2 linked regions of the Anolis sagrei genome follow. The protein of the gene in region 2 interacts with the protein of the main gene of each other region in a pairwise test. Links are inferred from orthologs where the notes say so. Each region holds a gene or a part of one and is shown on either strand. Other genes may lie near its edges.

Evidence for each region. The genes of interacting proteins can lie anywhere in the genome.
Region 1: the proteins of WWP1 (region 2) and CPSF6 interact in binary tests that used the Homo sapiens proteins (3 or more experiments, as listed by UniProt). The link is inferred for Anolis sagrei from reciprocal best matches to the Homo sapiens genes WWP1 and CPSF6.

Annotation. Positions count from the first base shown.
Region 1 is NC_090025.1:143,241,677-143,245,423, reverse strand, and holds the start of CPSF6 (cleavage and polyadenylation specificity factor subunit 6), read right to left. Parts: upstream 2,367-3,747; 5' UTR 2,313-2,366; coding exon 2,253-2,312; intron 1-2,252. UniProt on the Homo sapiens protein: Component of the cleavage factor Im (CFIm) complex that functions as an activator of the pre-mRNA 3'-end cleavage and polyadenylation processing required for the maturation of pre-mRNA into functional mRNAs.
Region 2 is NC_090024.1:37,387,818-37,391,564, reverse strand, and holds the start of WWP1 (NEDD4-like E3 ubiquitin-protein ligase WWP1), read left to right. Parts: upstream 1-1,117; 5' UTR 1,118-1,488; intron 1,489-3,747. UniProt on the Homo sapiens protein: E3 ubiquitin-protein ligase which accepts ubiquitin from an E2 ubiquitin-conjugating enzyme in the form of a thioester and then directly transfers the ubiquitin to targeted substrates.

The DNA of each region.
Region 1 (3,747 bases), on a different chromosome or scaffold from region 2:
TGTATTATCCAATGCAGTCTGCCTCCCGCCCGGAATAATATCCAGGGTGGGAGAAATAAAGAATCCTTGTCTGTTTTGGTGCTAAATTCATAAATACAGTAATTATGACATAACATTACTGTGTACTGAACTGCTTTTTCTGTTGATTTTTGGAAAAACATTTTTTTTGGTGCTTGTAAAATTGTAATGTAATTTGACATTTAATAGGTTTTTCCTTCATCCCTGCTTATTATCCAATATCTCTGCTTATCCAACGTTCTGCCGGCCTGTTTATGTTGGATAAGCGAGACTCTACTGTAGTAAGTGTTCACTTAACAATTACTAGGATATTGGCTGGTAGTTATCTCCATAAGACAACATTACAATTGTCATAATTCAAAACCACAGATTTAGCTCAATGTTGGAGTCACAAAAAAGAGGCAACAGTAAAATATTGTGTAAATGCCATTTATTTACTTAAATGTTAGCAATAACGAGCCATGTTTACAGAAAATGCTTCTGCTGTACTTCCTAAACAGGAACATCAGCCCGTTTAGCATGCCTTGAGAATGCTGATTTTATCTGTAAAATCTTTGATTTTTAATACTTACTAGCTGTATCCGCTACATGTTGCTGTGGCCAATCTTCCCTCCCTCTTTCTCTCCTTCCCTTCTTCTTTCTTCCTTCTCTACCTGTTTCTTTCCTCACGGCCTTTGCTCTTTGGTTCCATCCTTCCTTGTCTGGTTCCTTCCTTCTGTCCTTTCTTCCCTCTCTTTCCTTCCTTCTTTCACTTTTTTATTTCCTTCTCTCCTTCATTCCTTCTCTACCTTTCTTTCTTTCCTTCGTTCCTTCCTCCTTTCTGTGTACGTGTTTTGTGTGTATATATATGCATATGTGTGTGTATATAAACAGAGGCTAGATGGCCATCTGTCAGGGGTGCTTTGAATGCAATATTCCTGCTTCTTGGCAGGAGGTTGGACTGGAAGGCCCATGAGATCTCTTCCAACTCTATGATTCTACGTGGTTTTCCGCATGCGCTGTAATGTATTTTTTGGGTTTTTTTGGCTTTTACAGTCTTATCTGCTATGTTTCTCAATGGTTTTAAGAGTAATGGTCACTCGTTGGCCTCATAGGTGTATTGTGTCCAAATCTGGTGTCAATTCGTCCAGTGGTTTTTGAGTTCTGTTAATCCCACAAATGAACATTACATTTTTATTTATATAGACTAGCCACCCCCTGCCACGCGTTGCTGTGGCCCAGTCTGTGTTTACGTGTGTTGTGTGTGTATATATGTTTATATGTATGCGCATATTTGTATATGTCTGCTTGCATATATGTGTGTTTAGTTTTGCGCATGCCTTGTAATGTATTTTTTGTTTTTAAGTCTAGCTTGCTGTGTTTTATCGGTGATGATCACTCGTTGGCCTGATAAGTATATTGTGTCCAAATTTGGTGTCAATCTGTCCTGTGGTTTTTGAGTTATGTCAATCCCACAAACGAACATTACATTTTTATTTATATAGACTAGCCATCCCCGCCACGCGTTGCTGTGGCCCAGTCTGTGTTTATGTGTGTTGTGTGTGTATATATGTGTGTGTGTGTGGTTTTGTGCATGCCTTGAAATGTATTTTTTGTTTTTAAGTCTAGCTTGCTGTGTTTTATCGGTGATGATCACTCGTTGGCCTGATAAGTATATTGTGTACAAATTTGGTGTCAATCCGTCCTGTGGTTTTTGAGTTACGAACGAACATTACATTTTTATTTTTATAGATTTTATTATTTATGTACCTTGGTCACGTATTTAATTTCTCGGGAGAAAAGGGGTCGTGCATGGGTAAAATTGAAGCAGCCCTGCCCTAAACAGCCACCTTTTACGGGAAGCCGTTTCACACACTCCCGGCGGGGCCCCGAGAAACGCTCCTCCATCCTCTGGAGAGGCCTCGTTTGGAGAGAGAGAGGTGTTGTGTTGCTGCCTGCCTTTGCCCCGGGGGAGCGGGCCACAACAAGCCAGGCAAGGCAGTGGATTCGACGACAAAGGAGGAGAGAAAGGGGGCCGAGAGAAAGCGAGCGAGCCGCGCCGGGCCCCATTGTTGTTCCTGGCAGGCCGCGCAGGGCCTCCCTCCCTCCCTCCACGCTAGGCCGCGCCCCCTCCCGCGCGCTCTCCCCCTCAGGCCCTCTTCACAGGCAGCGGCAGGAATGGCGCCCAATGGCGGCAAAGAGGCCTCCGCTCCGCCTGAGCCCGCGCGGCCTAGCAGCGCCCCAAGCCGCCTTACCTGGTTAAACTCCTCTCCTACGTCGGCGTAGATATCTATGTGGTCCACGCCGTCCGCCATATTCCGCCGCCACCTCCTCCTCCTCCTCCTTCCCCCCGCCCGCCCTGCGCCGCCGCTCCTGCAGCCGCCAGACCCGCCCGCTCGCCCGACACCACAGCTGCCGCAAGCGAGCGAGAGGGAGGGGGGCGCTTGGAGGGGCTCCGCGTCACTTCCGGGAGCGAACACAGCAGCTTCCGCTAAGGCAGGCCTTGGAGTACTCCGCTCTTTATGTGCCCCCTCCTTCTTTCCCTCGCGCAGCTCGCTCTGAATCGAACCCCGCGTGTAGCCACGCCCCTTGAGGCAAATCTCTCCCCCCTCCTCCCCCCTCCGTTGGGAAGCGCGCGCGCAGTTAGGAAGGAAAGGGCGCCATTGGTGGCCTTTGGTTCTAACCCGCCCCTCTCTCTCAGTGCACTGCAGATTGAATGGCGTTTGATAACCCTTGTAACTGCTATGCCTCAATGGTACGGATGGAAACCTAGGGGTTGTCTTTGACAAGGCTCCAGCCGCCTTTGACAGAGGAAGCTAAAGGCCTGTGGCCGCTCTGGGCCAGAGTTTATTTATTTGTCGTGTCAGGGCAACCAGTCAATTGTATTACATTTCTAACAGAACAAAACAAACAGACAAAACACATAATTTGCAAGTTTGGTAGTTGATTAAATGTCCTTTGAGCACTTGGGGTTCCTCTGGTGTTGCTGCAAGAAGGTCCTCCATTGTGCATGTGGCAGGGCTCAGGTTGCATTGCAGTAGGTAGTTTGTGGTTTGCTCTTCTGCGCACTCGCATGTCATGGATTCCACTTTGTGGCCCCATTTCTTGAGGTTGGCTCTGCATCTTGTAGTGCCAGAGCGCAGTCTGTTCAATGCCTTCCAAGTCGCCCAGTTTTCTGTGTGCCCAGAGGGGAGTCTCTCATTTGGTATCAGCCATTGGTTGAGGTTCTGGGTTTGAGCCTGCCACTTTTGGACTCTCCTTTGCTGAGGTGTCTCTGTAGATCTTAGAAAACTATTTCTTGATTTAAATCGTTGACATGCTGGCTGATACCCAAACGGGATGAGCTGGAGATGTCTCTGCCTTGGTCCTTTCACTATTGGCTGCTACTTCCCGGCAGATGTCAGGTGGTGCAATACCGGCTAAACAGTGTAATTTCTCCAGTGGTGTAGGGCGCAGACACCCCGTGATAATGCGGCATGTCTCATTCAGAGCCACATCCACTGTTTTAGCGTGGTGAGATCTGTTCCACACTGGGCATGCATACTCAACAGCAGAGTAGCACAGCGCAAGGGCAGATGTCTTCACTGTGTCTGGTTGTGATCCCCAGGTTGTGCCAGTCAGCTTCCGTATGATATTGTTTCTAGCACCCACTTTTTGCTTGATGTTCAGGCAGTGCTTCTTGTAGGTAAGAGCACGGTCCAGAGTGACTCCCAGGTATTTGGGTGCACTGCAATGCTCCAGTGGGATTCC
Region 2 (3,747 bases):
TATTGATGTATTTGGGCTCGGCCTCTTGTAAGCCGCACCGAGTCCTCCGGGAGATGGTAGCGGGGTATATATTATTATTATTATTATTCCATCTGCCTCCCCTCTTCTTTTCTCTCCAGTTGGTTCAGTCCTGACTGACTACTGCATTACCCCATTATCCAACCCCCCCCCCCCTTAATAGCACCGCTCTCCAACTCCAGAGCAGTATTTTATTTATTTATTTGTCGTCTCAGGGCAACCAGTCAATTGTATTACATTTCTAACAGAACAAAACAAAACAAAACCAAAAAAAAAAAAAAACAGATAAAACACAAAATTTGGTAGTTCATTAAATGTCTTTTGACCAGTATCTGGTCACTTGGAGTGCCTCTGGTGTTGCTGCAAGGAGGTCCTCAATTGTGCATGTAGCAGAGCTCAGGTTGCATTGCAGCAGGTGGTCAGTGGTTTGCTCTTCTCTACACTCGCATGTTGTGGATTCCACTTTGTAACCCCATTTCCTAAGATTGGCTCTGCATCTTGTGGTGCCAGAGCAGTCTGTTCAGCACCTTCCAAGTCATCCAGTTTTCTGTGTGCCCACAGGGAAGTTTCTTGTTTAGTATTTATTTATTATTTTATTTAGCAATTTTGTATACCGGTCTTCTCCCCTCTATTGGGGGACTCGGGCCAGTTTCCAACAATAAAATCACAAAACAATAATTAAAAACATCATATATCAGCCATTGATTGAGGTTCTGGGTTTGAGCCTGCCACTTTTGGACTCTTGCTTGCTGAGGTGTTCCAGTGAGTGTCTCTGTAGATCTTAGAAAACTATTTCTTGATTTAAGTCAAATTTAGATTGAATGCTTCAGTCTCATTCCATATACCTCCCCTCTTCTTTTCTTACCAGTTGGTTCAGTCCTGACTACTACATTACCCCATTACCCAACCCCCCCTTAATAGCATTGGTTCAGCCCTGGATTGCTCTCCAACTCCAGAACTAAATTGCTGGGCGCTTTTGACAAAAGTTTCCCATCATCTGGCCTGTACCCGGCGTAGGCTTCTGCGCATGCGCTTCCTCCCATTTCTCCGTCATAGCCCCGCCTCTAGCTCTTCTCTCTCCTCTCTCTCTCCCCCCCCCCCTTTCCCTTTTCCATCTCAGGCTGTCTCGCGCCTCCTCCTCCTCCTCCCTTCTTTGCTCGACGGTTGGGGTGCACGCGCATGCGCGCCACCGCGAGGGGCGCGAGCTCTCCTCTTCCTCCTCCTCCTCTTCCTTCTCCTTCTTCCCTGTGAGGAGACCCTCTAATGCCGCCTCCTCCTCCTCCTCTTCTTCTTCTTCCTCCTCCTCTGTGAGATGGCATCCTTTGGTGTCTGCGCCGGGGCGGCGGCAGTAGTCGTAGTCGTGGTCGTGCCGGCGGTGAGGAGCGGGGCCGAAGGCTGAAGGGACGGAGGCAGCCTCAAAACCACCCCCAGCGCCACCCTCGGCACCAAGCAGCTGGGCTCCGAGCCACGGTAAGGAAGGAAGAGAGGCTGAGGCAGGGAGCGAGGGAGCGAGGGAGGGAGGGCCTGACAGACACATAAACAGCCTGCGCTGGCTCGCTCTTGGCCTGGCCGAGGAGGGAAAGGGAAAGGCGGAGGGGGCCTGCTGCCTGCTGCCTGGGAGGGGGGGAAAGCGAGGAAGGAGTCACGTTCATTTGGGGAGGGGGGGGGAGAGGGAGGAAAGAAGCTCTTCTCGTCCCTTTACAACTTCGCACCCCCGCCTTTTCCAGTAGAAATGGAGCCCCTCCTGCCCTCCTTTTCCCCAGCTGGTGGGCAAGGGGTGCCTCTCGCTCCCTCCAGCTCCCTTCCTCGCTCTGTGTCACCTTGAGTTCCTCTCCTATACTGTAGAATTAATGCACTCTTCACTATGGAGTCTTTTGAGCTGTCGTTTTCCAAGCAAGGCCTCTCGAGTTCTCTGAGTGCTGCTGCCTCCTCAAAACTACAAATCCCAGGATTACATAGCGCTGAGCTAGGGCAGTAAAACGGAAGTCTTACCGTGTAGATACAGGCATGGGCAAACTTCGGCCCTCCAGGTGTTTTGGACTTCAACTCAATACAGTTCATGCACCTCCAGAGTTTCCTGAGGCAGTCCCTTAAAATCTTTATAATACATAGTGGTTTTTGAGCCCCCCCCTCCCAACCCCACCCCCCAAATCTCATGACACACAGGAGTTTGTAAACACGTATTGCCTTTATAACAGACATGGGCAAACTTTGGCCCTCCAAGTGTTTTGGACTTCAACTCAACTCAATTCATACAACCTCCAGAGTTTCCCGAAGCAGTCCATTAAAATCTTTATAATACACAGTGGTTTTTGAGCCCACCCCCAAATTTCATGACACATAGGAGTTGGTAAACATCTATTGCCTTTATAACAGGCATGGGCAGACTTTGGCCCTCCAGGTGTTTTGGTCTCCAACTCCTACAATTCATGCACCTCCAGAGTTTCCCAAGGCAGCCCATTAAAATCTTTATAATACATAGTGGTTTTTGAGCCCCCCCCCCCAAGAAAAAAACCCAAATCTCATGACACACAGAAGTTTGTAAACACCTATTGCCTTTATAACAGGCTTGAGCAAACTTCGGTCCTCCAGTTGTTTTGGACTTCAACTCAACACAGTTCATGTACCTCTAGAGTTTCCCGAGGCAGTCCATTAAAATCATTATAATACATAGTGGTGTTTGACCCCCGAACCCCATGACACACAGGAGTTTGTAAACACCTATTGCCTTTATAACAAGCATGGACAAACTTCAGCCCTCCAGATATTTTGGACTTCAACTCCCACAATTCGTGCACCTCCAGAACTTCCCGAGGCAGCCCATTAAAATCTTTATAATACATAGTGGCTATTGAGCCCCCCCCCCCAAAAAAACAAACAACCCCTGAATGTCATGACACACAGGAGTTTGTAAACACCTATTGCCTTTATAACAGTCTTTGGCAAACTTCGGTCCTCCAAGTGTTTTGGACTTCAACTCCCACAATTCATGCACCTCCAGAGTTTCCCAAGGCAGCCCATTAAAATCTTTATAATACATAGTGGTTTTGACCCCCCCCCCCAAAGAAAACCCCCAAATCTCATGACACACAGTAGTTTGTAAACATCTATTGCCTTTATAACAGGCTTGGGCAAACTTCAGCCCTCCAGATGTTTTGGACTTCAACTCAACACAATTCATACAACCTCCAGAGGCAGTCCATTAAAATCTTTATAATACATAGTGGTTTTTGAGCCCCCCCTCCCAAATAAAAACACCCCAAATGTCATGACACACAGGCGTTTGTAAACACGTATTGCCTTTATAACAGGCATGGGCAAACTTTGGCCCTCCAAGTGTTTTGGACTTCAACTCAACGCAATTCATACAACCTCCAGAGTTTCCCGGGGCAGTCCATTAAAATCTTTATAATACATCGTGGTTTTTGAGCCCCCCCCCCAACTCCCCCCCCCCCCAAATTTCATGACACATAGGAGTTTGTAAACATCTATTGCCTTTATAGCAGGCTTTGGCAAACTTCAGTCCTCCAAGTGTTTTGGACTTCAACTCAACACAATTCATGCACCTCTAGAGTTTCCCGAGGCAGTCCATTAAAATCTTTATAATACAGTGTGGTTTTTGAGCGCCCCCCCCCCAAAAAAGAAAAACCCCAAATCTCATGACACACAGGCGTTTGTAAACACCTATTGCCTTTATAACAGGCTTGGGCAAACTTCAGCCCTCCAGAT